Linked DNA regions of Styela clava. The protein of the gene in region 1 purifies or fractionates together with the protein of each later gene. This does not show direct contact. Links are inferred from orthologs where the notes say so. Each region holds a gene or a part of one and is shown on either strand. Other genes may lie near its edges.

Region 1 (7,506 bases):
AAAACTATGAAATAAAATCGGAATGGTCGTACAGGTATTTAGCTTTTGACGATTTTTGTACGATATGCCCTAGGTCCCACAGGACTCCTAATTTTATGCTAGGTTAAGAGTTCAATATCGATATATGTTATTTAGGAATATTAATTTTGAGTCATAGCGTCTACTCACTCCTTGAGTGGTGCTAAGACGCAACATTGTCACATTTTGGCAAAATGAGAGCGACGTAGTGCTGGTTCATTCCCTTGTTTCTAATCAACGAATGCAACCGAATATCAGCAAGAGTAAGCATGTATATATCAAGTTTTTATTGCAATAATTCTTTTTGTATGTCGCCACCTTGTATTCATATAGTTAGTGTGTCATTCAAGTTTTCCTAGCGAGAAAGTCAAGATATCTTTGTAGTAGATTGTTTCTTTTTTTTTTTTTTTTAGTTTCTTTGTTGTTACTTCGACGCCTACTTCTAAAGATAAGCCAACGGGGTATGTAAATGTACATATATTTCAAATTGGTTAATGCTTAGTTGTATCAGTTATCGTGTTGAGGGACATTTTTATGAACTTTGCCATACCTGTGTTTTCTGTCACTGAAGCTGCTGCGCATGTTAAGTAACGGAATCTTTAGATGCTACCTTTGTGTAATAGATTTATGCGAATACTTTGTTTATCGGATTGCCTTTTTTAATCGAAACTGCCCAAATCATTTGATAGATTGACCAGTCATGTCCTGTATTATATATATCACAAAGGTTTTTTCTCCCCAAGGAGCTGTTTCAAACCTCCCAAACATACTTTGATTGAATTTTGATTTCGTTTCACAAATGCTCTGGAATTTTTATTTCTTTTAGCGGTGTCGTGACTCACTTGTCCCCCTTTTCGCACATGTTGCTGTATTTGTTTCACTGTTCTGACTTAAGGTAGATAGTCTATATATTGTGGGGAGAATGGGTAAAGTATGTATATGAGAAATTTTCATATGTTCCCGGTTAAGATAGATAGAATGCCTTGGTACAAGGTTAGATTACTCATGTGAATCGAGATTCATACAATTGGGCCAAGTGCGTGACATGTGTGACAATTGTGGCAACTGAGGGACACGACATTTTGAGACAATCCTTTTCTTTAGTTTTATAGATGCTATCGCGAGTGTGGGTTCGTCCAGCATTGTCCAGGTTCTAAGTCGAAGTGCATCGTGTGAAATGTCGAGTTCGTTACTGATAGAGGCAGAAGAAAATCCCGGAAGTTCGCCAGATATAACTGTCACTGGTGAGTTGTGCAGGTTCAGAATTAGTCATTTTAAATATAAATAGTAAATGATTTTATGGAATAGATATCGTTACATAAGTGCAAAATTTTGTAATTTTCCCAAGGTCCGAGTTCTGGATGTAGCAGTGCTGGTAACGTGATAGCTGGAATTCTCGGTTTTCTGTTTTTTGTTGTGGTCGGAGCCTCAGGGTTTTATGTTGCAAAATCAAAGAAGTCTAAGGAAGATGGCGAAAAAGATGAAGAAGAGGAGGAGGAAAAAGAGGAAGGCGAAGAGGAAAAAGAAGATGAAGACAAAGAAACGCAAGAAAACGATGATACCAGTAGGAAACCAAAGAAAAAGAAACATAAAGATAAAGAGCAGGAAAGAAATAAAGAACAATCTGAAGATAAGAAAGAGAAAGATGAATCACATGGTTAGTGTTAAATAAGTTGGGTAGACAATGCCGAACCGGAAACGTCTCGATGCTTCTAAATAATTGTAGAATATTGTTAGATATTAGTAGCTGCCTCATAGGGCCTTGTTCGAAATGCGTTAATAACCGTCGTAAAAAATTGGAAGAAATGTTCGCTTAATTTTATTAAAATACAAACTGATACCAATTGAACAGTGCTCGTCAAACTGTGGGCCGCCGAGCATTTTCTAGTGAGCCTTCAGTAAATTTTGATTATGGGCAATGATACACGAAAAATTTCCATAAATCCAACATTGCATACATACCGTATATATTTAATTAAATTTTCCTTAACAAGTTTATTACGTGGTTGAATCTTAAGTTTCCAACGAAATCTTGACCGAGGCTAACAAGGCTGTCACGAACGAGGTGGTTGTTGGGCCTTGAAACGATTTTCATTTCACTATTTGGGCCGCGCTTAAGAACTTCGCCGACCACTGCAATAAAGCAAATGATTGCTCAGATTCTTATTCGGATTGAAATATTCCGTTTATTTCACCGACAGGAAAACCATAGAATTGATGCGTAGGTCCGACGTATATGAACGATTGGTTCACAAATAAGATACGGTAGCATTAAACTATAAGATACATCGTTGGCCGTGGCCAAGAGAGCGCACCGATTTGATTTGAAATACCACGAAGAGATCACGTGGACTTAGTAGTTTTGGGGTCAAAGAAATGAAATGAACCTCATTCCACTATCCAGCAAACACATTCATATATAACGAGTTGCGTATTATACACTATACTAATGAGCGCATAAGACAAAATTGAGCGCCTACATCAGGTCTTTACTCTTTGGTTGAAAAAAAAAAATAAACACTGTGAGCTATTATTAGTTATAGTCATACGGAGTTTTGCTATGTTAGGCAGAATAAATAGAACCGTGTTGAATTTAAAAATACTTCAAATTATTTTTACAGGTAAATCGCATCGCCACCATGGACATAAACGACATAGAAAAAGAAAGGAACCCGATAATGCTTGATATTTTCAGCAAAAAATATGTCAATGTATTTTCGATCACTCATATCTTTAATGGTGTTGTGACTGCCTGAATTGGCGTCAGCCATTAGCTTGAATCCGAACTGTGTTGGCTCGATAAAGGATATTTTTCGCTCATTTTTGAACTAATTTTTCAGCATACCTGCTAACTTTTGCTATCAATTGGTATTCCGTGGGACTTATTCTCATTCAATGCCTTTGCGTCACTGGATCCTTATGCATATAATGCAAGGATGCTATATCAAGAATGAAGATAACTATTCTAAGTCAGACTTGCTGCACACTGATGCAAATGTATTTACAGCTGAAATATGTATGTGTAAGTCTGACATCGGTCTGAAGAAACGTCACAGAAATATATTTGTGTCGGTGTTTATTTTTTAAAAAGCAATATTATAAGTAACATATGCCTAAAAAACACCATTTGTTGATATTATTATTTAAATACCGCTATTTATATATATTTATATGTGGGTTCAAAACTTTTTGGGGAGACAAATATGAAGACTAAATATGAGAAAATATTTGAAAAATATACATATAATTCGGTAATACCATTGGAAAACTCTTTTTTCAAATAAAAGCGTTGGTTGGAATTATCTCCAATATAAAGAGGTACAAATTTATTGCAACCTACGGTCTTTATTTGCACTATTTTCGGTTGTATTTAGACGGGGAAAAGTTCAGAGAGTATTACCAGATATCACGACAGTGAGACATATGGTGCATGTGATAATTTTCACGCATATGTCGCGCGATTATTTTTTTCAACCTGTTGTGCTAATTTATTGATTAGTTCTCAATTACACGCACGCGTTATAATTGTTACCCCGATATTTGGAAGATTATTGCTTAATATTATCACAAGTTCATCGCTGTTGGAAACTTCTCATCAAGGTAATTGTGAAGCATTTTCAAAATTCAACAAATTTATCTCCAATATTTGGCTTTTTTGATTGATTTTCAAGCTAGCTACATTATATTGACCCTTGACTAGCGGAAAATTTTGGTAGGCTACTGCGTGAAAATGAAGGCTACTGCGCTGAATGAAGGTCAACTGCACTGCTTTTATTGAGTTATAGTATAGATAAGGTGATTGTATTTCATAAAGTATAGCCAAGCGAATTGTATTCATAACAATACATCGTCGTTCTTAATTTCCATCATAAAATATTGAACCGTATGGATGATCGCATGCTCAGACAAATATCAGCTGGAATCGGAATTCGCGACATATCACACTGGGCGACAGCTATCAAACTGTTTTACAACCCTGTGAAGTACTTTTGTTTTGCACCGCAAGTTCCGAGTTCGCACATTACCTTCGCGTGTCGTGCACCTTCGAAGTTCCCAAATCAGACAATTTGTTAGCACCCACGCGACTGATAATCGCCAGTGTTTTTAAATGAACGCGTTCTCAAAAATCCAGGCACTTTGTTCCGAACAAGTTTATGGGAATAATGCATGATTGCCACCAGGTAAACTCATGTTAATAATAAATGAAGCACAACATTTGCTAACACCGGTTGTGCTTCATTTATTATCAACAAGTTTATGAGAATGTTGAGATAATGTCGGTAACTCCCGTTTCATAGAAAGGTCGGTTAGATCAAAAATACTTGAAAGATTTTTAGAAACTGACCAATGCCGGAGGGCTATCGACTTGATAAAGAAGGCGACGAAGAATTCAACCGCTAGAAATAAATTAATTGCTTGTCGTCATGCATCATTGATTATCTAGCTTTTGAACGTTTTCTTTTGTTTACAGTTCGCTTTATGAGCGTCGTCATCCACAATCTTTCGCCATCTGTTGGTTATGCTGTTGTAGGCGCTAGGTATTAGGGTTTTAGTCAAATTCTGTGATAGGTTAGTCAGTGTCTAATTGTTACCAAGAAAATATTCATCTACCAAGCTAAGGGGACCAAGTTCTGGAGTTGAAAAAAGGCACTTAGACATGGAATTTACTTGCAAACTTGATCATCAAAAGAATAGAAATGGAATAATGGATTTACCGAAAGATGTTCAAGTTATGATTCTACAAAAACTTCCTTATAAGGATCTTATTCAGCTGCTGAAAGTTTCGAAGTATTTTGAAAATCTCATCAAAAATGAAGCACCTGGTCTTCTACAAAATATCACATTACCGGATATTTTTTTGAATGCTGAAAATAGCAAAGCACTCGCTTGGCTTGCATCAAAAGGTAACCTTGAAGCCAGTATTAAACTTGGATTTGCACATTTATATTTTGATGGATTAGTTGATTCCGCCCGTGTTCGTCAACAAAACAGTTTAATAGCAGCTAAATATTTTTGTGAAATGGAGCAAAATAGCCGACTCAAATTGCCAATAACTTGGGTCTTCATTCGTCCACCGTGGTCTGCTGCTTCTGTTTGCCGAAAAGCTTTTGTTTTCAAACAATTATCAAAAGCAGTTGATGATGGTAATAATCATCCTAATTTGTTATATTGCATTGGGAAAGTATTGCAGTTATTTGATGATGATTTAGAGAAGCGTCAATCTGCAAAACAATGGTTTCAACGTGCAGCTGATGTCGGTCTTCCTAATGCAATGCATGAATTATGGTGCATGGAACTTGAAGATATTGAAGGTTTTTCTTCCATAGAAAGCTTCGTTTCATCAAGAAGTCCTGGACTTCGATTATCATTGATTCGAAAATTAAGGAAAATTGCCGCTGCTGGATATAAGCCTGCACAAATGCAGTTATGTCGATTATATGCAATGGGAAATTATGGGGGATTGCCAATGGAGGTTGCACTAGATTACACAAAAAATATAATTCAAAAATCTTCATTAAAGCAAATTAATCAGATACCAAAGTATCAAGAAAATGTAACCGGTAGTATGAGATACATCCTTGTTGACTGGTTAATTGAAGTAGCAACAATGAAAGATTTCGGCAGTGAAATGTTACATACAACTGTCAGATGTGTTGATAGATATTTGTTATTACGACAAGTATCAAGATCACGTCTTCAACTTTTAGGAATAGCTTGCATGGTAATCTGCACCAGATACATGGAAAGAGATGTCTTGACAATTCGAGAAGCAGTTTGGCTGACTGATTCAACGTATAAATATAACGAGCTCGTGCAAATGATTGAAGACGTTGTTGCAACGTTAAATGGAAATATTAAAGAAATGACAATGTATGATTATCTATCAATATTCTTAAATTCAAATACTCTTGACAGAAAAAGTCAGGATATTGCAAGATTCATTGCAGATGCTAGTTTACTTCATGTTGACATTGTGAGTCTCCCTCCTGGAATTTCTGCTGCTGCTGCAGTATTTCTTGCAAATTTTACTGCAAACCCCAGCAATCCATGGCCTTCAAAACTATTAAAACTATCTGGATATACTTTAGGAGAATTATTTCCAACCGCAGTTGAAATTCATGAGAAATGTTTGGATAAAGAACCACCGACTGATTTTAGAAACAGAAAACTTGACGCAGTAGAAGAACGATATAGTCAATGTCGGTATGGCCCAATCAAAAGAACGCAACTTGTCACACACGAACAACTTATTTCTTATATGCAAATTACTTGTGAATATGATTCACCGGAATGTATCAACACTCCATGTTGCAGTCATTCTGTAACTATTTCCTCAGAAGTAAAATTAAAAGAAGATCATATAGATTCAACTCCAGAATCTGAAAAATTGGACTATTTTGATTTAGTGATGTCTACAGAAGAAGATGAAATTGAATCTTCAGAAGAGTCCGATCTTGAGACAGACACTCCACCGACGTTATCATCAGCGTATTTGATGAGAACAGATACAAAAACAAGGAAAAGAATTACAGCTAATCGTCTTGCTGAATCGAAATCTGCAGAAAATTTGCCAGCAACCTCTAGTTCTAAAAGCAAAATCACTAAATTGTTACCCAAAAAGCGAAGTATGGATAAATCTAAGCCTTGCATGACAGTTAATGATAAAGAAAATAGGTTATCAGTACCCTGTGCCAATAAAATTTCACCATATAATGCAAATGAAGCTGTTTATAAAGAGAAATCTGCTAAAATAAATGGTATAAAAGAAAGAACTAATAATGTGAAATTGTCTAAATCAAGGAGTTCTAGATCACCTCGAATGAGAATGTAATTTCAATTGAAAGGTTTCTTGAAATTGTCCATTAAATATGAACTTCAATATGAATTGGCGTTTGTTTTTCTGTAATATCTGTATTTGAAGTGAATTATCATATTCATCAAACTGTCCAGAGTTATCGCGCAGTCAGACCAGAAATATAGCAATATGAAAGGATGTCTAAATATTAAATTCAATAGAATTAAAATCTCAATACACACAAATATGAATAGCCTATACATTTCTGTTTCTATGGACCTTTTTAATATTTGAATTATATCTAAACAACATGCCAATTGCCAATTTATATATTGCTATATTTTTAATGCATTTAATATGTTGGCGTGAGATTTGAGCCATTTTTTTGTGCTCATCATTTTGTACTTCCCGTTGTTTTATTCAACTTCTGTGTTATTTTTTTCTTCGAATGAAATTTTTCAATCTCAAAATGAAATGTTTTCTCCTTCATACCTATTATTATTGTTAGTTTCTTTTTTTTCTTCTTTCATTAAACAGTCATTCTTTACATTGTAGTGTCTTTTGTATGTAATGAATGTGCATTTGTTTGCCAATTATATCATAAGAACATTTATGATAGTTACTAAGCTTTCTTTTTGCAATGTATACGGTATGTTTTTTTGCAACATTGTTTATAATTGGTCCTTGAACTC
Region 2 (7,011 bases), on another chromosome or scaffold:
TAATTTATTTACCAGAAGATCATTAAGGTTTTATTGACATAATTATCAAAATATAACTGAATCACAAAAAATTATACACCATACCTCATTCATAATGATCTGATTGTTGATCATTTCACCAGACATTCAATAAGCTTCAGTCGATAACAACTACAATGATCAAGTCCAAACAACTCTTCAATCAATTGTATAACTGACATCTCACTTCATATTTTACAACACAGCAATCCCAGGACAATCGATACCATTTATCATGTGATACCCCAGACATACACCCAAAATTTGATGTGAAAATAGGCTTTGGTATTCTATGATAAATGCTATTCAAAAAAATCAGGTGCAGTCAAGATCCCAGGCAATCCCATAAAACTCTCAAGTTGGAGAATGAAAATTTTGTTATGAGAAAGATGGCTCAAATTTCTACAAACAACTTTTGAATGATCATCATACAGGGCACACTTCTGGTTGCTTCAGATATAGGCTACACTAACTGGCATCCGTTCTATATTTTACTCATAAATTTCATTGTTTGTTATCACAACATGAATGCTGAAAAAGTCTTGTGATGATCAATCATATCCAGGGATGGGCATTTTCGTGATGATTTCAGATACAAACGAATATTTTCTTGAATATTCGGAACTTGGAAGATATATGAATGTATGTGACTTTTTATTGTGATGGGTCCTCCAAACACATAAATTACTGAAAACATGAAATCCATCACTCAGACATTTTGCTGAAAGTTCACACACAATGAGAAAAATGTTTCATCAATATCTCACAAAAAAGAAAAGAGTCATATGTCCAAATTACATCATAAAACTATAGCTTCAAGACAAAAACTGAGGAATCCACCTCGACCTTTGTGTGGCCAAATAAAATAAAAAAGATGACGGGGATACAACATTTTCTGCTGAACCGATTCAAATAATGTTCAACTCTAATCATATCTTCAGTCAATTTAGCAAATCAAATTGCCTCATATACTGTTATATCAATCCAGCAAAAACATATTTCTGACTCTTCCATACAAACTAACCTACAAACAATGTCTTCATCACACAATGCCCAGTTAGAATAAAGCAATTTACCAAAATGTTAAAAATACTTCAGAAATGCAACTATATCCTAGTTACAAAACAAAAAAGACACACATTTTCTGTAAAAAAATATTCTGAAAAAAAATACTGCAAATATTTCATTAGGACTCATAATAGCACTCATATACCGAAACAAAATAATCAATCGCAAAATATAAACAGATAATCTGCAGTACAAAAACATCATACAAATAGAAATATACAAGCATCAGCAGTACCTATATGAAATATACTAATATATGTACATAGCACATCATACACTCAAAACAAAAATTTTACTGAAAAAATACCCACTTGTGCCAAAACTAATTCACCAAATTGTCCAAAATATTGTTTCAAATCGTTGACAGATGTTTCCCAAGGTAATCCCATAACAATTAGGTCCGAGCATTTTTGTGCCGGCCTTTTACTGCGGATTCCTTGACTTTCAGTGTCATCCATCTTTCGTTTATTATCTGCCAAATTGAAGGAAATTTTCACAAAAATTATTGTGTATTGGAAAATTGAACAAGATGTCTAAAAAGTGAAACCAACATGGCATTGGTAATTGAAATAAGAGCAAAGGGGTGTATTTTGTGCAATAAATCAGGTCTTGCCAACCAGAATAGTATAGTATTGATTGAACATGCAAACAACTGAAAATTGAAACTATATCAATATAACATAAAACAGTATACTACCAACTTTTCCTATATCATATTAAATGGCTTGCATAATTGTATTTCTAGCAATGTTCTAGTGACAATATACATGCTACGGGCTGTCAAATAGGACCAAAAAAAGGTAAGCAATGAAAATATTAATTATCTTCTTGAACCCCATGGCTAGCAGTTCAATGCATGATTCAGTAAGTAGTAATTTTAACAGAAAAATTTATAGCACAAGTTAGTTATCAGTCTTGGTACTACACAGAATACTGAATTCCTTTTCTATTAATTTACCTTTTGGATAAACAACAATATAAAGTTGTGATCCCCACGAACCATCTGGTGGATGAAATGTACCTTCAACCAATCGCACTCCCCTCATTGTTTGAGTGTCAGCATTTCTATACTTGAGACCGCATGCCCCAGCAAATTGGGCTGAAAAATAGAGAAAAACAGCAAGTTAAATAAAAAGAGACAAATTTGGAAAACACTGTTGTATCGATGGTTTTGGATGGTGTAGTCAGATGGGAGTTAGGATTGACATGTGAAAAAATTATTATGATACACCCACTAGAAGTACAGAAGTAGACTAGATTAGGCACAAAACTACACGAGACCCGAGTTGAGTTTAGTGTTACCTGTACGGTACCGTACCGGTACCGTGATTTCATTAATGTAATTGAGTAATTACAGAATTAAGGCTGACAGGCTTAAAAGTTAGTCACTTCAGCACTTTGTGCACATATTATATGTTTTTATTTTTTTTCATCTTCCGTCTACAACATGAAAATACTGAACACAAAATAAAAAACAAAGACAAGGGCAACGAAAAGATCGGGAAAATGAGCAAAACCTAGAGAAAAGTTTAAAGCGAACGCTGCAAGCGTTTGTGCCCATTTATCGGTCAGTGATTTCCTACTGAATTGAGTACCGTACTTAACAAAATATTTATCCAGTAGCTACTGCTTTATCTTTTTAAATAACGGCATTACGGGTATTTTTATCTTTTACCTGTAACGCTGGACAATAGCATGGTGCCATCTGATTCTCCTGGAATTTCTATAGCCTCCTCATTTTCGTCATCAGCTATTCGTATATATATTTCCTGCTTTATGTTGTAATTCCTTTGTGAGACAGACATGCTTGTTAAGTATTTCGCGGCCTCGAACACTGCGAGATTCTTAAGGCAAAACAGTACACTTTCACTAATTCCAGAACTCGCGTTTCTCTGTCTCTGAAGAGTCTCAATTTCAACAATTCCACTGAAAAGAGACGAAAAACTCGTCGGCGCCATGTGGTGTCAGTATTGAGCATTCCTATTACCTGCTAATTTTTTGGGTGATCGGATGGAACCTTTCCCCGAGCATCGTATTCCTTGTTTACTTCGTGACATTGGCCAATCAGCAAAATGCAAAAAGTGACGTAACAATGCTCCCTTTTCGCATCCGCTCAGACCCCTTTCTCACTCAGACCGATTTCCAAGCGTGGTCGTAAACATTACCTCGTTTTCGCGTTTTTGAACTCTATTCGTTAGTTTTCAGTTGTGTTTCGGAAACTTAAATATAAATCAGATATTTCAATGATCACTCTCTTTTCCTAGAAGTTTTAATTTTTTAATTGCAGTAATTAAAAATCAGTGTGGAAATAGCTGTGATAGACTAGGCTAAAATTATTTACCTGTACTTTTAAAAAACAGATTGTTGTATGCGATCAATCATAATGATGGTTCAAAACACATACCTCATTTTACAGGCGCCAACTCACAAAAGTACTCTTAAAATAGCCTGGAAATTTTGCAATGGTAAAGTATAAGAAGAATTTTTTGGGGGTCAAAGGTCGGGGAAAGGTCCATTGAGAAATATACCGTAGGTTTTTACTCAGTGGACGCTACCTTCTGGCTACTACTATAAATAATCTCAATGATTGCTATCAAAATTATTTTGACCATATTTGTAATTGTGACTTGCTAACTGACCGCTTTTATTTTTACCGGCGTAATATACGCATAGAAAATAGGAAGGTGTTTAAAATATGATAAATCATTTTAAAATTTCTTGACATTGATTAAAAGACTTGAACAGATACATTCGAAATATTCATATTTGGTACAACAACAACAGTTTATATCATTCAAACTTCATTCTAAGTGACCATTACTTGTCAACCATTACTGTCAGTCGTCTTAACTTTTTGTGCAACAGCTGCCAAATGCATTTTTAACATTACCAACAACGACATCACAACATCGACAACTTTTTTTGTATACCTTGCTTGGTATGCAATCGCAATTTTTTTGTGGATTCAGAAGAAAGTAGAATTACAGCGGAAATTTGGGAGCAGGAGATTGCCAGGTTAGTCCATCCACTGGCGTCAGTAACCATAGTTCCCGAAAAAGCGCATAAGGTTGACGAACTTTTTACAAACACTCTCTGCTAATACCGTTACCCAACCACTTTCAGCATTGGTAGGATAATTCTAATACTGAAAATGGTTGTTTTTTGATAGGGTCAACGATCATACGTCATGAAATGAAATGTAAGATAAAACAAAAAAACCTTCTCGTGCCGTCCAAGATAGTTTGGTCATTATTTACGTGATATTCATTATCCTACATTCGCAAAACCTAAAACCTAGCCTTTTTTTCATCAACAACTACCATTGGAAACACATTTCTACAACACAACTAATGTATGTTTTCTTGGACGTAATCTCGACAATATGAAACTTCAGTAGATATTTTTATTAAAAGTGCAATCTCAAAGAAAAACAACAAAATCATGCTGGTTAACATAGGCGACAGAACCCATAAAATATCAAGGAAACAAAGATACAGTATAAGATGGCAAAGTAAATCCTGAGACGTTGAATAGCGCAGAAAATTTGTTGACAAAACGATCGTTCTGATCTCAGTCAAAAAGTGCAAAATTATGAAAGCAACGCAGGGTCTGCTACATAAGGTTTTACCGTCATTGATTGTTTATTTTGTATACATAATATGTGGCTACTGTGGACAAGGAAAACATTTAGTAAAAATAGGCTTGTAAGTTATAATAAAGCAAACCAATAGCTTTTAGCTAGATTGCAATCCCACGAAAATGTTAACATTTTTCAGAAACAGGCCATGTTTAGAGTATGCAACGGACCTTGGAGATGGCAAGACTTAAAATTTCATTTGTTGACTGGTGTATTTGACAATAGCTCGTAGCTACAAAGAAAATGGGAGAAAGGCAATATACTCAAGTATAAATCGGTACTCCCGTAGCATGTGAAGCAAGATGGCGGACACCGGTACGTCGTATGTGTACCAGGTTAGGGTTAGACCATAATTTCCGGTACAAATACTACGGAAGTCACTTGGCTAGTCCCCAAACTCGTAATAGAACTAAAATAAGGAAAATTGGAATAAAATTATGGCCTGGTTCACATACTACGTTCCGGTGTCCGCCATCTTGGTTCACATACTTCGGGAGTACCCCAAAAATTAATAAACCCAATTTATTTATAAATATACTCCACTCATTTATATGACAAGAAGTGAAAAAAAACAGTGCAACAAAGATAGAAATCAATTACAGATAAGTTCATTTTTACAAATGCTAACGAAATACAAAAATATTATTATACACTGGAAATCTGATAATAGGAAAACATGGAATTCCTAATATAGTAAATAAGCTGTCCAGTGAGAATAAATTCCATTTTGGAATTAGGACTAAGATTAGAGCCAATATATTTATATACTCTTTTCGTTCGAAATTTATCTTTTTGCCCGTTACTTTTCTTTTAGTGCTTGTACGTGACGGGCGGTCAAACGCTTCGTCTCGCAAATTTGCTTTACTCCTTTGTTGAAAGCTGTGGTGTCAACATGTCCCGACTCCCACCGTGATGTGTATTCAGTCTCATCATCATGACCTTCAAAAGTACATGATTAGTGGAAATAGGCGCAAATAGAATGGTTGTACCGCCTCATATATTTGCTGTTTGTTGATCATCTGGATGAACTCCATTCGCTTTTAGGTATCTTCTGACGCATTTCCTAAGGGTGACGTCATAGCGAGAATACTTTTCTTCTGTCGCTGCACTACCAGGTGACCAATGCTCTTTGTATCCTTCTCCACTTGCACGAGACTCTGGACTGCCATTTTTCTGTAGCATTCCTGCTTTGTGATGCGCCTTAGCGTCGTTTCGTCTTCCGTATTGATTCATTGGTATATTCGCTTGATATGCCCGTTCAGGATGTCTGCTAACATCTTCTGTACTTCTGCACAGAATACACCTAAGAAATTGCAAAAATGCCGACATAAATAAAAGTTTGGGACATAATGGTACATCAAAAACTCACCATGGCATCATTTTGTGGAGTGATGTTGTATGTATGTTATTGACACACTCTCAGTTTTACTTTTCATACCCCTTTCAACACAGTTATTTGTTGCAAATTTGTGGACTTTGATGGCGGAGCAACCCTTGTGCACCACCTGTTGGAGGGATGCAGGGACTCGAGATGTACCGATACCATTTTTGTCGTCGATACCGATCCGATATCAGCTAAAAACGCCGATACCGATATCAATGCGTCGATATTTGGAAAGGCCGATATTGCCGATACCGATATTCCGATTCTATGTAATTATTACTTAAGTGTGTAGGGCAGACGAGTTAAAACAATAGTCTTCGAGCATCATTAATAGTGCACATAATTTTGGATCAAATAAGAGAAATATCATATATATATATATATATATATAGAAATTGATGTTTGGGATCCAAATGCGTTGATTGATTCAAAGCATTGAGCACTGGCACTAGTAATCTTGGTGTCCAATTAGAAAACTAATAGAATTTCGCTATACTGTTGGTGGTAAAATGCATAAATGTTTAGCCTGCTTATCGTATATGAAACTGATACATTGAGTTACGTGCGCGGGATTTTGTGCCAATATAACGTTGTATTTTATATTTTACACATCGGAAAATCCGGGGGGGACGTACATGGCTCATAGTTCACGATCTATCCAAGCAAAAAATAATTTAAACATCAGTATTCTAACCTATTTTTTTAAAACACCTTGGATAATATGGAGAAGCTGAATATATATCGGAAATATCGGTCTAAATTTAGCCGATACCGAAAAATTGGCAGATATTGTCGATTCCGATACCCGATACATCGGTACATCTCTAGTAGGGACATCACTGCAACCATTAATAAGTAATCATATAATATTATCATTTTTTTTTTTCAATGACAGAAACTTTTT
Region 3 (7,849 bases), on another chromosome or scaffold:
ATGACATAATAGGGGTGTGTATCTTGTTAATTTTGATAATACTTAGCAACTCTCACCATACATAAAGCAGAACAAGCAATTTTTAATATTTTATTCAGAGTTTTCCTGCAAAGAGGTTCAAAATACCAGAAACCTGGTTTTGTGAAGTATTCTCGATTTAATTTATTAATGGACCTCCCAGGACGCTATCATAAGCATGCTAACATATGAGTTCTAACTACAGAGCCCCAACACACAATTATAAAATGATTTTATATCAGATGGTTAATGTTCCCAGAGTAGTGAAAACTAGCAATTATCTTTTCATAATAAATTCTCAGTTGCAACTCAATCGCTAATCCCCATTCGTGAACAGATAATCCAGATTATTGTTTTCTTTCATTTCTGTAACTAGTATAAAGATAACATAGCTAGCTGCTTGTTCACAGATATTAAAACATTAAGAGTAAAAACTCGTCTCATTCAATCAGATGCTCTTTCATTTCACTACCACTCTTACTGTGTGCAATCACAACACTGTTTTAATTGGAAGAAATAATAATTATTTTGCTGCTTTATTGTTGAATATATTTTTCATACTTCATCATTAATACAAATCAGATAATTGGTACATCTGTGTGTCTTTATCTACTCAGTTGGAGATATGACCCTGATGCCTATATTGATTTTTCCAAAAGTTGGGAAATTGGCGCAATGAAAATTCTCTGCCTTAGACAAAAAAATAATGAGTAGTCAGTCAGTGGTTAGTTGTCAAGTGTGTTCCTAGCGTTTAGTTGTGCCAGCTTTCGAAAATTTAGGTCATGCGTTTAGGGCAGGGTCTTGTTTCAATTTTCTTCTGAAAAATAACACTAGGGCTTATTTTCGAGGGATGGCTTATATTTTAATTTATCAAAAACAAAATTACAAAGTGAAGAAATACGAGATTTTCAAAGATACAAATTCAAGAATCACTTTTTAAATTCAACCTAGGTCTTATTTTCAGGGAAACACGGTATTAGATTTCTTTAAGAGTTTTGTCCTCGATAATTAGCATTGGTTTTTCGCGTCTGTCTTCACCCAGGAATGTGATATTTTTAGTTTATTCTTACATTCTGGTTCATTTCTACCACGATGGAAAAATAATCTTCTGCTTACTGGTATCATTCACCATTTAAATCCGTACCTCTGCTACGATTTTTTTAGAACCCCCGGAGCCAGACAATGTATTTATCTATCTGATTTTTCAATCTTATCACTACTTGACAACGAGAGACCGAGCAAATGGCGTCTTAATTCATATTTCAGATGATTCCATATTACTGGCGTGCCGCCGTATCGGATACCCCGAAAAACAATTGAGAAACATGAATTCAAATGCCGGTTATGGATTAAAAATGGATGTGATAATCAAATGTATACAATGGCAGGTGCAAGGGGCCAGATTAGGGCTAGAGTGATAAGAAGTGAAAAGGGGGCATGGCGCGTTAATCGCTCCGTGAAAGCGTGATCGTTTAATCCGTTATCGTTATCCACGAAGTTCTTAATTATAATTTCCTTTTAAGATGTTTGCAGGGAAAATCGGTTAGGATGAGACGAATGAATGGGAATGGAATATAATCTTATTCTTCATAGCCTCAGTAGCTTCGCAGAGATCAGACCCCAAAGATTTATATTATATTGTCGCATCAATGTCATTGAAGATTTTCGCGCTAAGAAAAGAGGCAACGGCATTGGATTGAATATTCTATTTTAGACATGAAATGCTTCTAATTGAAGGAAATATGATTTTCAAACCGTGCCAATAACCGAAACACTGAGTATCTTTCAAGATTTTAAGATTGATGTATTTTATTGTCGAAGAAAACCTTTGGACGGCTAAAATTTCAGAAAAGCACGAAAATAACCCGTTTAATAATGATTTTTGTAAATCAACTTAATTTCTCGCAAAATCCTTTCAAAACGCTTTCATAAAGCTAACAAAGTGACTTGAACGTCAACGCAGACGACACGACGATGTAAATGAGAGAAGCAGCTGGGCAAGTTAATTATGATGTCATCGATCAGCTGATTTTGTCCCGCTTCTCGATGAAGCATGCGGCGGGAAAAACGAAACGAGAGCGGGAACAACTAACGCTCTCTCGTGTTTCTAAAGCTTTTTACTTTTTTTTTTAACTTTGCAATCATTAGTAGGTTTGTGATTTAGGCGTTAGCTCATCTTTTCTATCGCCGTATTTTGGTCTTAGAGCAGTGTTAGCATCTGATATAATTTTACTTCTGTTTGGGTTTTACTGATGTTTAAATTAGGATTCATATTTTTGATATAATGCTCTCTCAATTTTTATATTCGTCATTGCGTATACCAGTGCTATCATTACTGCATTATCTTCCGATCCTCTAATTGCAGAATTGGGAGTTTGTCACTTTCGCCTGTAGATTATGCATGTTACCGTGTCTTGTAACGTTTAACATATCTCGGTGTTTTGTAGCGTTTTCTATTCCCTGTTAATAATCTTCATTGACATTATTTATTATTGCAATCATTACTGTGTTAGTCTGTTGGTAAGGCTGTAAGGAGACACTTTCTGACTTTGGCCAGTTGGCGATTGCATTACTACGGTAGCCTAGATCAGTGATTCCCAAAGTGGGCGATATCGCCCCCCAGTGGGCGAAAACGATACACAGGGGGCGAAAAAGTCTAAGGGGGCGATAGGGGGGCGATTTCGCGAAACCTGTTTCATGTTCGGCGCACTTCATTCTGTACTCTGTGTGCATTGGCAGGCTTGAATCATGTGGGCGATATTCACACGCGAATGGATTTCTGGTCTCGTCTTCGCAGTAAGGTAAGGTAGTTTGCGTATCCCAGTGGTCGGCAAAATACGGCCGGAGTAAAATAATCTGGCCCTGGACGATTCACTGAATGGACCTTTCCCCGACCTTTGACTGCGGAAAATTCTTCCCATACTTTACCATTTTAAAAGTTTCGGGGCTTATTTTAAGAGTGGTTTCGCGAGTTGTTGCCTTTAAAATGGGGTATTTGTTTCAAACTATCATTCTAATACACACCATTCAACAATCTGTTTTTTAAAAGTACCGATAAAGAATTTTAGCCTAGTCTATCACAGCTATTTCTACACTAATTTTTGATTGCTGTATTTAAACTGAAACTCATGGAAAGGCAAAGTAATCATTGACTTATTTGTAAAAACTAACGAATATAGGCTAATTCAAAAATGCGAAAATGAGGTAGTGTTCACGACCACGCCTGAAAATCTGTCTGAGTGAGAGTGTCTGAGCGCCTGAGCGGATGCGAAAGGGGGAATTGTTCCCTTTTTTGCATCTTGCTGATTGGCCAATGTCACGAAGTAAACAAGGAAGTCTATGCCCGGAGAAAAATATCCAAACGGCGGTTGTGACGATAAAATTTTTTTATTTATAATATACGCTCGAGGAGTAAATTACTTTTTTTTACGTAACAGAATTTATCGTGAGACACGTTTAGACTAAATTATACTATATCCTAACAATCTAGTGAACAGCCACTCGTTTAACGAGCCTACAATGTAATTATAATTAGACAAATGGAAACACGCAGAAAAGTTGATGCCGAGTGCAGGGGTTCAATAGCGCAGTAAATATTCGAATATATTGCGAAGCAATAAGAAAATAAAATTCATATTCTAATCGAGAGATTCATCACTGCTTAATTTTTGTAAGAATGTAATTTCTTAGAGAGAAAATATTTATCAAAATTTCACAAATCATGCGAAAATATTCACTTCGATGTTTGGAAGTATATATTTGTGCAAATCATTATTTTCGAAAATGAACATTACAAAGAACAAGCAAAGAAGTGGGTTTGGTGGTGCCCATTTAGAAAATGTTTCTATCTTGGCGTCGTAAAGTTATCCAGCGTGATGCAGCAACGAGACAGTGTCACATTAAATATCATTGTAATATTTTTTTAATAAGACGACTGAGTTGAGTTCACGAATTGTCGCAGTTTTTGCGTGCTGTTCCGTTTTTAACTTCCAAAAAATATATGCGACCCGCAAAAGACTAGCAACCCTGAATTTTGTCCTGCGAGCGACATAAAATTTGCCGACCCCTGGGCCGTAGCCGATAGTCAGTCACGGCTTCTTCCACATCCGAGTCAATGAATCAAAAACAAATGGCTGGTTAATTGTGGAATGGTGATCGGTCTGGAGGCCGTGATAGGATGAGGAATCAGGGATGAATTTTTCCGAAATATTTTGGTGCAGGTCATCAGGCTGTACGAATGAATGAGATGTACGAAAATCATTATTATAAGTTTGGGAAAATTAACTTTGTTTTTATTATTTTAATGTGAAATGGGGTGAATTTAGAAAGTGAAATGCTATAAGGCAAGAGTACACGGCGGTTTTTGAGGTGGTAGAACCCTGGATTCTTTCATTTTCGATCTATTTTATGGTGAAAAAGGGGTTTTCAGCCGTGCTACTATTGCTATTAAAACAACGAAATCACCTTTCCATCAGTAAACGAGGTAATTTTAGATATAATAAATAACTCGCTGAAGAACACCAAGCTCATCAATTTCATTAAAAAACACCATAAACTATTATTTGTCTTCTTATTTGGTCTGTAATATATTCGTTTCCGACTTTATATTTTTTTGTAGTGCAGGGGGGCGATGAAGTTGCATATACTACTTTAGGGGGGCGATGGTCAAAAAAGTTTGGGAACCACTGGCCTAGATCATTCTGTCATTAGATACTGTAAAGACTGAAAGAGGTGGCAGTTTGGATTTGATTGACAGGTTGAACTGTAATTTTATTCCAGGTTTATTTTAGGACTAGTAAAATTGTTTTATTGTCAAAATTTTTATTCTTCAGTCTTTTTAGATTTTACTAAAGTTCAATTTTAAGTTCAAAATTTTGGGTTCATTTTATGAGTTATTATCTTGCACCAATTCTATATCAAAACACAACTGCACTATGGCTACGCAAGGTATCATACCATTTCCGTGTCGAAAACCAAGATCTTTGGCATCCAAGCTGAATTCTACCTCTCCGTATAAATCACCAAAAAATCAGGAGAATGTTAGAAGAACATTGATGTCTATTTCCAACATTCAAAATGACAATAATCCATGCATCCGATCCATAATGCCACAACCACGATCACCAAGAAAAAGATTGGGTTGGCTCTATTTCTGTATTTACTAGTTTTATTAATTTAGTGCTAAATATTGTTTGTAAAATCATTTGGTCATATAGTATTAACCTAGAATTTCTAAACTAGAAATTGAATCTCTAAATAATGAAATAAGCATAACACTATAAACACTGCGAAAGTAATGGAGAATTTTCCGTGTTTTATTGGTCCTGCTTGCCTGTTGAATAAAAACTTTGCATCTCAGCTATGTATTGTTATATTGTGTAAAGTTTCATAGTGTTATTTCAAAGATTTGTTGGTTTGAAGGTTCAAATCTAGAATATATTCAGTTTTGTATATCCTATTCAAATTATCAGACTGTTATTTCTGTAGTTATTCACACATGTGCTGATCAGTTGACTGTAAAATGAGTCAAGATGAACGTAGCTAAGTTGTCTCCAACCATAATTAGCTTGTGATTAATTTTTTTAGTTTGTCCCACTTTTACAGGCGATTCAACAAACACAACGGAAGGTTGGACAAATGATGATTTTTTGAATGAACTATTCAAACTCTCACCCTGCTCTCCAGTGAAACAAAGAAAAGAAATTGTTGATAAAACGCAACAAACATCGAAAACTCCGACCAAATCAGTTTCGAGATCTTGTGATTTTCAATCTCCCACAAGAGCGATTCTTTCTCCTATACGAGCATTATCACTGAATTCACCATGTAGAAAAACTCAGATCAACGACAAAAATGTGAAATCTAAAACGGCCAAAGTTTTGCAATTAAAACTTGCAAGAATAGAGGCACCTGGGGATGATCAGAAGTTAGCGCCTGATGAAACGCCGACCAAACCTACTCGAAATCGTAAAACTGTGTCAATCAGCGAGAAAAAAAGCAGAATGGCAAAAATTGATAACACTTATGCTACGTCAACAGTTTCGATTAGGAGGGTTACACGTTCAGCAAAAAAGTAAGGAATATAAGGCATTTGTATAGTTAATGATCTGTCAAAATATCCATCGTATATTGAAATGTATGGTTGAAGCAACAGTTTCTCTGAGAGACCAATTTCTTATTATTTAAGAATTAGCAAATTTCCATAAATGAGTTTAAATTTTGTCTTTTATTTCAGAATCCACAAATTGAAACTATTCGAAGAAGATGATTTTAAAGAAAATGAAGATCCGAATGAACTTTCACCTTCGCCTAAAAAGCGACAAAAGCCAGCTTCCGAGAGCAGTAAATACCAAAGAGTCTGCAGGACTTTGCTTCCACCTTCACCTGAAAAACAAAAAGCGAAACGAGCTTTGTCACCTGTGCCGTTGTCACCGAAAAAATTGACTGAACAGATCGTCGCGAAAGCTGTTTCACCAAAAACGAGTCGCAGTCTTGAAAATGCACTGGAAACTCCACCAAAGTTAGCAAGTCCCTCGCGCTCAAGACGAATGTTGGAAATGCATAGACCTGACGGTATATATATTATTTATTTAAATATTCCCTAATATTTTCGGTACCTTCATTCTTTCATACTTTTCTCGTTGTATTGACATGAATCAATCAGTCATTCAATTAGTATTTACTACTGTGCAATAACTCAGCTATAATAAGGTATGTAGCTCCTGGCCCTTTAGTGTTTGCCCGTAAGGAGGTTCAAAGATCTATCACCTTTTTTTCTAATTGAATATGCGAGACATTGCATTGAGCATGAACAAAGATAATGTACAAATTAAAAAACAAGGTCCACTCAATGTGCAATTTGTGTCAAGCTGTAAAGATACAAAATATTATATTTTTATTAAGAATCTTACTGCTTGTTGCAGACTTGTTGCGAGTGCAAATACAAAAACACCCCAGGAAAAAAATTTGGATAACTGCCTTTTCTTGATATATGAACCATAGAAATGAATCATTTTTTTAATAAGAAAGTTTCAATGTTACAAATTCATAATTAAAAAAGTATTTCTTCTTGAATTTTGAGTCTATTTTCTTATGTGTGTCTTCCTTTCAGGTCTTATTTACCAACACACAAAGCGTGCCTTACATTCATCAGTGCCAGATGTTTTAGTTGGTCGAGAAGAGGAAATCCAGAAAATCTCTCAATTCATATCATATGGTGTGACAAATCAGAAGTCTGGTAGTCTTTATATATCTGGTGCTCCCGGAACGGGGAAAAGTGCTTGCTTGATGAAAGTTCTTAACAATGAGAAGGTTGGCAGATGTATGTTTATTTGCCTCAAAATGTAACAGTATCTGTATAATAATCAAACAGTGTAAAAGACTGGATACAGATCAAGACCTTACTGGCCTAAGACACAGATGTGCGACATAACCCCTAAACAGATGGTATTTACATTCGTTCAATTTGTGATGGATGTTTGCTTTATTTTATTGCAATATTCATCCTAACCAGAATTGAATTTTTTGATTTGATACATTGTCTGATTGCTTTATCCATTTTTTATTAAAACTATAGTAATTGTACCGAAACTGGTCATTCAATTTCGAAGTAGAATTTTAATTTTTGCTGTATTGAGCATTGACTTATGATATGAGCAAATTTGTAATTAACTCAAAATTATATAATTTTCATTCTCTTATTCGATAATTACTGTCATGCCCTGATTTTTTAAAACTAGTTCACACTACACAGAGGGAGGAAGCTACATTTCTCCCTTTTCATTACAATTTCCTGTCTTTTGTTATTGTAATGAACTTAACTCTCTCTCTA
Region 4 (7,305 bases), about 12 Mb from region 1:
AACAATATCTCCATCACAAACAGCTGGATTGAAAAAGGGAGAAAAAAGGAAGAGAAAGACTCGAAAAATATAATTTTTCATTAATGACTATTAAATATGTAGACCTTGATAGAGTCGGCCCTTGACACAATTCGTTAATATGCCTAAGCAATAAACTTATTTTAATTGCATCAAGACATATACTAGCTTTTTTTCTCAGATATGCATGGCTATATTAAAAATGTAGTAGATGACATAGCCATTTTAGTAGGGACATAGCGGAAATAGCCATTTTAGTAGGGACATAGCCATTTTAGTAGGAAAATATCGGAGTCGCAATTTTAGATGGGACATAGCCATTTTAGTACGGACATAGTCATTTTAGTAGGAAAATATTGGAGTCGCAATTTTAGATGGGACATAGCCATTTTAGTGGGACATAGCCGTTTTAGTAGGAACATAGCGGACATAGTCATTTTAGTAGGAACATAGCGGACATAGTCAGAAAATATCGGAGTCGCAATTTTAGATGGGACATAGCCATTTTAGTAGGGATATAGCGGACATAGCCATTTTAGTAGGGACATAGTCATTTTAGTAGGAAAATATCGGAGTCGCAGTTTCAGATGGGACATAGCCATTTTAGTAGGGACATAGCCATTTTAGTAGAGACATAGCCATTTTAGTAGGGACATAGTCATTTTATTAGAAAAATATCGGAGTCGCAATTTTAGATGGGACATAGCCATTTTAGTAGGGACATAGCGGACATAGTCATTTTAGTAGGGACATAGTCATTTTAGTAGGAAAATATCGGAGTCGCAATTTTAGATGGGACATAGCCATTTTAGTAGGAAAATATCGGAGTCGCAATTTTAGATGGGACATAGCCATTTTAGTAGGGACATAGCGGACATAGCCATTTTAGTAGGGACATAGTCATTTTAGTAGGAAAATATCGGAGTCGCAATTTTAGATGGGACATAGCCATTTTAGTAGGGACATAGCCATTTTAGTAGGGACATAGCGGACATAGTCATTTTAGTAGGAAAATATCGGAGTCGCAATTTTAGATGGGACATAGCCATTTTAGTAGGGAAATAGCGGACATAGTCATTTTAGTAGGAAAATATCGGAGTCGCAATTTTAGATGGGACATAGCCATTTTAGTAGGGACATAGCGGACATAGTCATTTTAGTAGGGACATAGTCATTTTAGTAGGAAAATATCGGAGTCGCAATTTTAGATGGGACATAGCCATTTTAGTAGGGATATAGCGGACATAGCCATTTTAGTAAGGACATAGCGGACATAGTCATTTTAGTAGGAAAATATCGGAGTCGCAATTTTAGATGGGACATAGCCATTTTAGTAGGGACATAGCCGTTTTAGTGGGAAAATATCGGAGTCGCAATTTTAGATGGGACATAGCCATTTTAGTAGGGACATAGCCGTTTTAGTAGGAACATAGCGGACATAGTCATTTTAGTAGGAAAATATCGGAGTCGCAATTTTAGATGGGACATAGCCATTTTAGTAGGGATATAGCGGACATAGCCATTTTAGTAGGGACATAGTCATTTTAGTAGGGACATAGCGGACATAGTCATTTTAGTAGGAAAATATCGGAGTCGCAATTTTAGATGGGACATAGCCATTTTAGTAGGGACATAGCCATTTTAGTAGGGACATAGCGGACATAGTCATTTTAGTAGGAAAATATCGGAGTCGCAATTCTAGATGGGACATAGCCATTTTAGTAGGGACATAGCCATTTTAGTAGGGACATAGCGGACATATGGGACATAGCCATTTTATAACTACCCGGTACCGGTACCGTATACAAATTTTGCAGAGTTTTTCGAATATCTTCAGTCGTTTTTGATATCATAGATTTCAAATGTTTAAGCCAGTTTATATATAATCTGAATTAATTTTAGCAACACCGCACGGAAAATATCACAATTCTCATGATCATTAGAGCGTAACCATTGCACTAACCAATCATTCATCCGCGCGCTGTGCTTTGAATGCTTGTGGCTTTGTTGATATTTGGCTTTGGGGGTCGGGAGGTTTTGCTGGTTCCGTTAATTCTGCCATTGCAGCATTAGGATAGGATAGGATTTACATATTTATCCCGGGGGAGAGGAAAGCCGATAAGACGGCTTATCCATATGGCGAACCACGGCCTCTCGTCCGGTTACCATTCCAAGTCGGGTATGGGATTAGATTTACTGTATTGTTTGTTTTCGGAAGCATGGACTTGGTGGTGGAGGAAGCCGTAACCGACCAGCGGTTACGTGAACCACCCAACGACGGCGAGGAGTCCAGCAATCCTCTCGCACATAACCATCTCTGTCTGGGATTCGAACCTGCGAACCCACGCAGAGTAGTTAGAGGTGCGGTGGCGATCGTATTCCTAACGCTTAGCCCGTTGAGCCACACCGCCGCGCATTGCAAATGCAACACGAATTTTACTACATAACTTGAGCAATTGGAACACAGATTTATCATGGAATGTAAAGATAAATAGGAATGTAACTTGAATCCTATCAATGTCAGCATTTTGCATCTGATACCGTCAGACCGTACGGGCGTACGGTACAGCCGTAGACTAGTGCTGTAGTGATCCCGGTAAGTTAGATTGGTTAATAATATTAACTACAGAACTATATTAATAATACTGTAGTATAGGGCAGTAGGGGTGGATTTGCATATTAAAATAGAGTAAAAGCAATAACACGGCTCAATCATATGATATGGTGAAACACGGCCTGACGGCCTCTCATCTCCGATTTCAGGATTACCAATCCTGCAATCCATGTCCGGTACCAGTAGGTAGGTAGCCTAGTTAGGGTTTGCTTTTAAATGGGAAATTTTGACTATATTGGATAAAATGAATTATAAGAACATTAACAACTACGGTATGTTAATGCAGTAATGCCCATTCAAAAGTAAAAATGTGCGGAGTCATTTAAACACAAAACTCCAAATACATAAAAACCAAAGTGCATGAGAATAGTCACCACATTTAAAGACATCAATTTTAGTAATGAATAGAAACCCCGGGTCTCGTGTAGTTTCATACCTAACGTACTTCTAGTGGGCGTAGCATTAGCATATTATTTTATTATGTCACTGTGACATCGTAGTGACATAATTTTTGGATGGCGTAATCAGGTGGGGGTTAGGATTAACATATGCAAAAATTGTTATGATACGCTCACTAGAAGTACTTTAGGTACGAAACTACACTAGACCCCAAACCCCCCTATACGAGACAGTACGGACCTTCATATCGGCAAACCGACACTAGAAATAAACTAAAAGGAAGCGCAATCTAAAAACATCACCATTTAGTACGGCTCCTCATACAGCTCCTCATTGTCTCATTTCAGAGAATCCCATTTTGGCGATGAACAAACACTTCTTCTTTAAGTTGCACAAAAAACTACAAAGAAGTGCAATCTAAAAACATCATCATTGAATTCCTCAGGAAAAAATAATCCAAGTCACAAACGGAAAAATATTCTACCGTGGCATTCGTGAATTTAAAGCAAAAAGCGGCAATTTTGGTCACATGACTGCTGCAATTAATTTATATCATTATTGAGACAAACATGATGCGATATGACGTATCTGCTGTTGTACAGACACCCATCATTTGTGAGACACATGGAGTGTCTATTTTATCATTGAAGCAAATGACAGGACATTCTTGGAATTTAGAAAGTGTGCTGTACTGCCATTGAATTCCTTAGAAAAAATAATCCGATTCACTGAAGAACAGAAGGATAAATTATTTTACTGTTGCATTTGAGAGTTTTAAGCAAATAACCCCAATTTTATCGTGTGATGGGCCATGCACGCTATGATTGACTTAAATTATTATTGAGACAAGCATGGCGCGATCTAACGCATATGCTGTCACGCCAGACTCCGTCGTTTCAGAGACAAATAGAGTGTTATTTAACCAAATGTCAGTGTATTGCGGCCCCATTATAACAGAGAATAGTTTAGTGTACAAGACCTTGTTTGCCTATGTCACAATTGTTTGACTCGACAGAACACAGAGGTCTGATATTGATCGCCAATTTATTCAAAAAACTTGCAAAATAGGTTATGATAAGTTTTGCTTTGGCAAAAAAATTACCAACATTGGCTATTCAGGAGTATACTACAGGAAATGGATCTGTATAAAAAAAGTCTAAACTTAAATTTGCATGTATGAGAGCGAATAAACACTATTGTGTTTCATTTATTTAAACCACAGTTGGATTATTATACAAAAGAAATAGAATCAATATAATGTTTCTGTAAGAAATTTATTCACTTGTTTTTAGCTTACTTATTGTAGGCATATTTTTGAGTTTATTAAACACTGTCGTTTTTGGATTCTGGACGATTTATCAATCATCCTTCAAAGTCCAGTAGTCATGTTGTCCTCAGATTTAAAGTCAATGAAAAGAGCTGAATTACAGAAGCTGGCTAAAAAACATGGAATAAAAGCAAATTTGAAGGTAATTTGTTTATTCTTATCGCTTGTTATCATAATCCAAATGATAATTTATTTTATAGTATCTGTGATAAGCCCTTAAAATGAAAAACAATCAAAATTTATTCATGATAATTGGTGATTTCAATTTTAGATTATATTTTTATACCAATAATTACTTTTTTTTTATTTTGCAGACTGATGGAATTATTGCAGCGTTGCAGTCAGTATTCGATGCAGAAAAAGAAAATGCAAAAACACCTGATACTTCACTGGTAGCACAATCAAAAACACCAGTTAATGTGGTATAACATTATGACAAAGTTAATTTGAGTTCGTTTTCGTGTCATGTTCAATGTATTTCTTTTTAGCATTAGCCTTTATGGTCTTAATGACATTATCAAATTGTGTTTATATTAATAATAGGATGGGACTGATATTTATCTTGCATTCTCTGCAGGATTATTTGCAAAATATAAAGATTTATAAGATATTTCCATCTCTCTAATATATCTTAATGAAGTGCATTACTGTATTACCATAACCTATGAGTATTGTTGTGTTATATTTTATTATTTTTCTATTTTAGTTTCCAACTCCGCCATTAGACGAAGCAGAAGATTTGTTCTCAGTCAAACCACCATGGAATAATAGCGACTTAATGTCTTTTGTGAGAACAGTTTATTATATTTTTCTTTCATCAGAAAAACACGATATTGTGTAATTATTAATCATAATTTGGTTCTATTTTTCTAGGTTATCTAGGTTTTTATATTTAATTTTCGAATCAAATGCAACTGCAACTATACAGTCTATGTGTCTTCACAGGACTCTACCCCAGAACAAGATAGCAAGAATGACAAATCTTTGGAAGCAATTCCTGAAACTGGAACAAGAACAAGAAGTTCATCTGGGAAGAGGGTGAGATTACTTGTTTGTATTATTTTCTTTTTCAATCACAGTTGTACCCTTAAATGCCAACTATCCAATAAACTTTTCCAAGGATGTCAAAAACGAATCAAATATTCAGATCATTCCGAATGTTTTGGCAAGGAACTGTGCTGTATGACTATTCATCAGTAAACAAGGGATATTCATATAGTCTTTTATAGAAATTAGGGCGCTCCAGAAGTGTGTGTACCAACATGGGGGTAACTAATTTTGTTCGCCTACTTTACATCAAGTTGTGTAAAGAGACGGAAGCTAGGCTATGGGCACGGGCAATATTCACTTTACTAACACAGACAGTCTCCGAACTTGTAATAGAACCAAAATAACGAAAAACTGAATAAAATTATTGTAACTTAACTGGTACACACACTACGGGTGTGTCGAAATTAGAGCTATCTTTTGAAATTTTAGACTGTTTTTGCATAATTTACCATATTTTTACAAGTTTTTAAGATTGAAATTTATCGGAGAAGAAAGATCTTGATTGCCTGGAAGGGGACATTTTTATTCCAAACCTCATTTTTCAAATTTCAGTTTACTTTGTGTAATAAATAACCAATATAAAATTAGAATAACAGCTAATATTTTGCTCTCTCTGAATATGATTTTGGAGCTTCCAAGATATATTTTATGTATTCTTTTTGTCCTAGACCCCCAAAATAGCTAATGAATCGAAAGATTTTGCAACAAAGACATACAGCGTTGAAAGGGTTAAAACAAAATCAAGAACCGGTCGATCAAACAAAGTTGCTCCCACTTCTGGCAAGAAAACAGCTAAAGTTTTGAAGCGTCGATCTTCAAATGCAGTTGAAACCATACAGGTTAGGTCGTTTTCTGGAACAAGGTATTGACACTTGACAGTCATCGACCTATCATGCAATTGTTTATGAAGTGTTTTACATTTGTTAACCAGCAAGTATCAGGTTTTGCATTACCTACTACTAAATTTATTACCCATCAATGTGTTATTTTGAAAATAGGATGGGAATAAGATATGCTGACTTGTCATATGATATAATTATAAACACACTTTTTATTAAAAAAAATTTAATTAGAACTAATTTTTGCAATAAAAATGTATTCGAAATTTCAATGTTTCCCCGTTTGTTTCAAAACCTGTGGAATACTAAATATGACGTTAGAGTATTTTATCGAATATAGTTCTTTTTATTGACTGATGTACATTCTAGTTTTAAACCATTTTATATATAATCCAAAAGGCTAAAAAACCGAGGAAGAGTGGATCAAATACTGACCAAGAATCTGTAGATGAAAAAAGTGAAGCAATCGACATTGATCTTCAGAATGAAATTATGAATGAAATAAGAAAAAAAATTGATGCAACAGGTATGCATGAGCCTTCCTCTCACATCTCGACTCATTCCACATGTGCATAACAAGGTGTTATATTATATGCATATAGTAGCCTACTATGGAAAAAGGCCATTAAAATTTTATATGGCTCTTTGCTGTTTTTTATAACATATTATCCCCATTATTTTGAGAACTTCCATGCCGCACCGACACAAAGTTCTGTTTTTTTGTTCAATTAACCAGATGAAAAAAGTAAATATGGTGGCAGTGATTCTTTTGCAAGTAGAATTCCAAGATTTACTGCATCAGGTGTTACTATCGGAACAAGCAAGCCTATTACACCTGGAAATAAAGACTGGAATAAACTACACAATAAGTAGGTGTCATATCTGAATTTATATATATTGTACGCAATCTAATATCAATTCTTGAATTTAAAATTCTATTTTAGAAAATTCGATAAACTGGAATCCATTGATGATTATGAGCGAAGAAAAAAAGTGCGAGCAGAAAGATTACTCGGTTCCAACAAGAAAAACAATGCAAGTCTGAGCAAACTGGCACA

Evidence for each region.
Region 2: the proteins of cyclin-F-like (region 1) and TAR DNA-binding protein 43-like purify together in Homo sapiens (affinity purification with western blotting; 3 studies listed by BioGRID, with this or other methods). This does not show direct contact. The link is inferred for Styela clava from reciprocal best matches to the Homo sapiens genes CCNF and TARDBP.
Region 3: the proteins of cyclin-F-like (region 1) and cell division control protein 6 homolog purify together in Homo sapiens (affinity purification with western blotting; 4 studies listed by BioGRID and IntAct, with this or other methods). This does not show direct contact. The link is inferred for Styela clava from reciprocal best matches to the Homo sapiens genes CCNF and CDC6.
Region 4: the proteins of cyclin-F-like (region 1) and nucleolar and spindle-associated protein 1-B-like purify together in Homo sapiens (affinity purification with mass spectrometry; 3 studies listed by BioGRID, with this or other methods). This does not show direct contact. The link is inferred for Styela clava from reciprocal best matches to the Homo sapiens genes CCNF and NUSAP1.

Annotation. Positions count from the first base shown.
Region 1 is NC_135251.1:14,285,113-14,292,618, reverse strand, and holds the start of cyclin-F-like, read left to right. Parts: upstream 1-4,485; 5' UTR 4,486-4,675; coding exon 4,676-6,850; 3' UTR 6,851-7,506. Other genes in the region: uncharacterized protein LOC120335464, read left to right, coding at 1-34, 432-479, 1,123-1,262, 1,367-1,675, 2,640-2,704. UniProt on the Homo sapiens protein: Substrate recognition component of a SCF (SKP1-CUL1-F-box protein) E3 ubiquitin-protein ligase complex which mediates the ubiquitination and subsequent proteasomal degradation of target proteins.
Region 2 is NC_135253.1:15,480,547-15,487,557, forward strand, and holds the start of TAR DNA-binding protein 43-like, read right to left. Parts: upstream 3,024-7,011; 5' UTR 2,892-3,023; coding exon 2,762-2,891; intron 2,186-2,761; coding exon 2,045-2,185; intron 1,559-2,044; coding exon 1,398-1,558; intron 1-1,397. Other genes in the region: short transient receptor potential channel 5-like, read right to left, coding at 5,717-6,026. UniProt on the Homo sapiens protein: RNA-binding protein that is involved in various steps of RNA biogenesis and processing.
Region 3 is NC_135250.1:4,966,340-4,974,188, reverse strand, and holds the start of cell division control protein 6 homolog, read left to right. Parts: upstream 1-4,835; 5' UTR 4,836-4,952; coding exon 4,953-5,157; intron 5,158-5,622; coding exon 5,623-6,091; intron 6,092-6,253; coding exon 6,254-6,591; intron 6,592-7,129; coding exon 7,130-7,329; intron 7,330-7,849. UniProt on the Homo sapiens protein: Involved in the initiation of DNA replication. Also participates in checkpoint controls that ensure DNA replication is completed before mitosis is initiated.
Region 4 is NC_135251.1:26,346,264-26,353,568, forward strand, and holds the start of nucleolar and spindle-associated protein 1-B-like, read left to right. Parts: upstream 1-4,294; 5' UTR 4,295-4,416; coding exon 4,417-4,500; intron 4,501-4,672; coding exon 4,673-4,780; intron 4,781-5,064; coding exon 5,065-5,145; intron 5,146-5,303; coding exon 5,304-5,396; intron 5,397-6,076; coding exon 6,077-6,247; intron 6,248-6,646; coding exon 6,647-6,773; intron 6,774-6,983; coding exon 6,984-7,116; intron 7,117-7,191; coding exon 7,192-7,305. UniProt on the Homo sapiens protein: Microtubule-associated protein with the capacity to bundle and stabilize microtubules. May associate with chromosomes and promote the organization of mitotic spindle microtubules around them.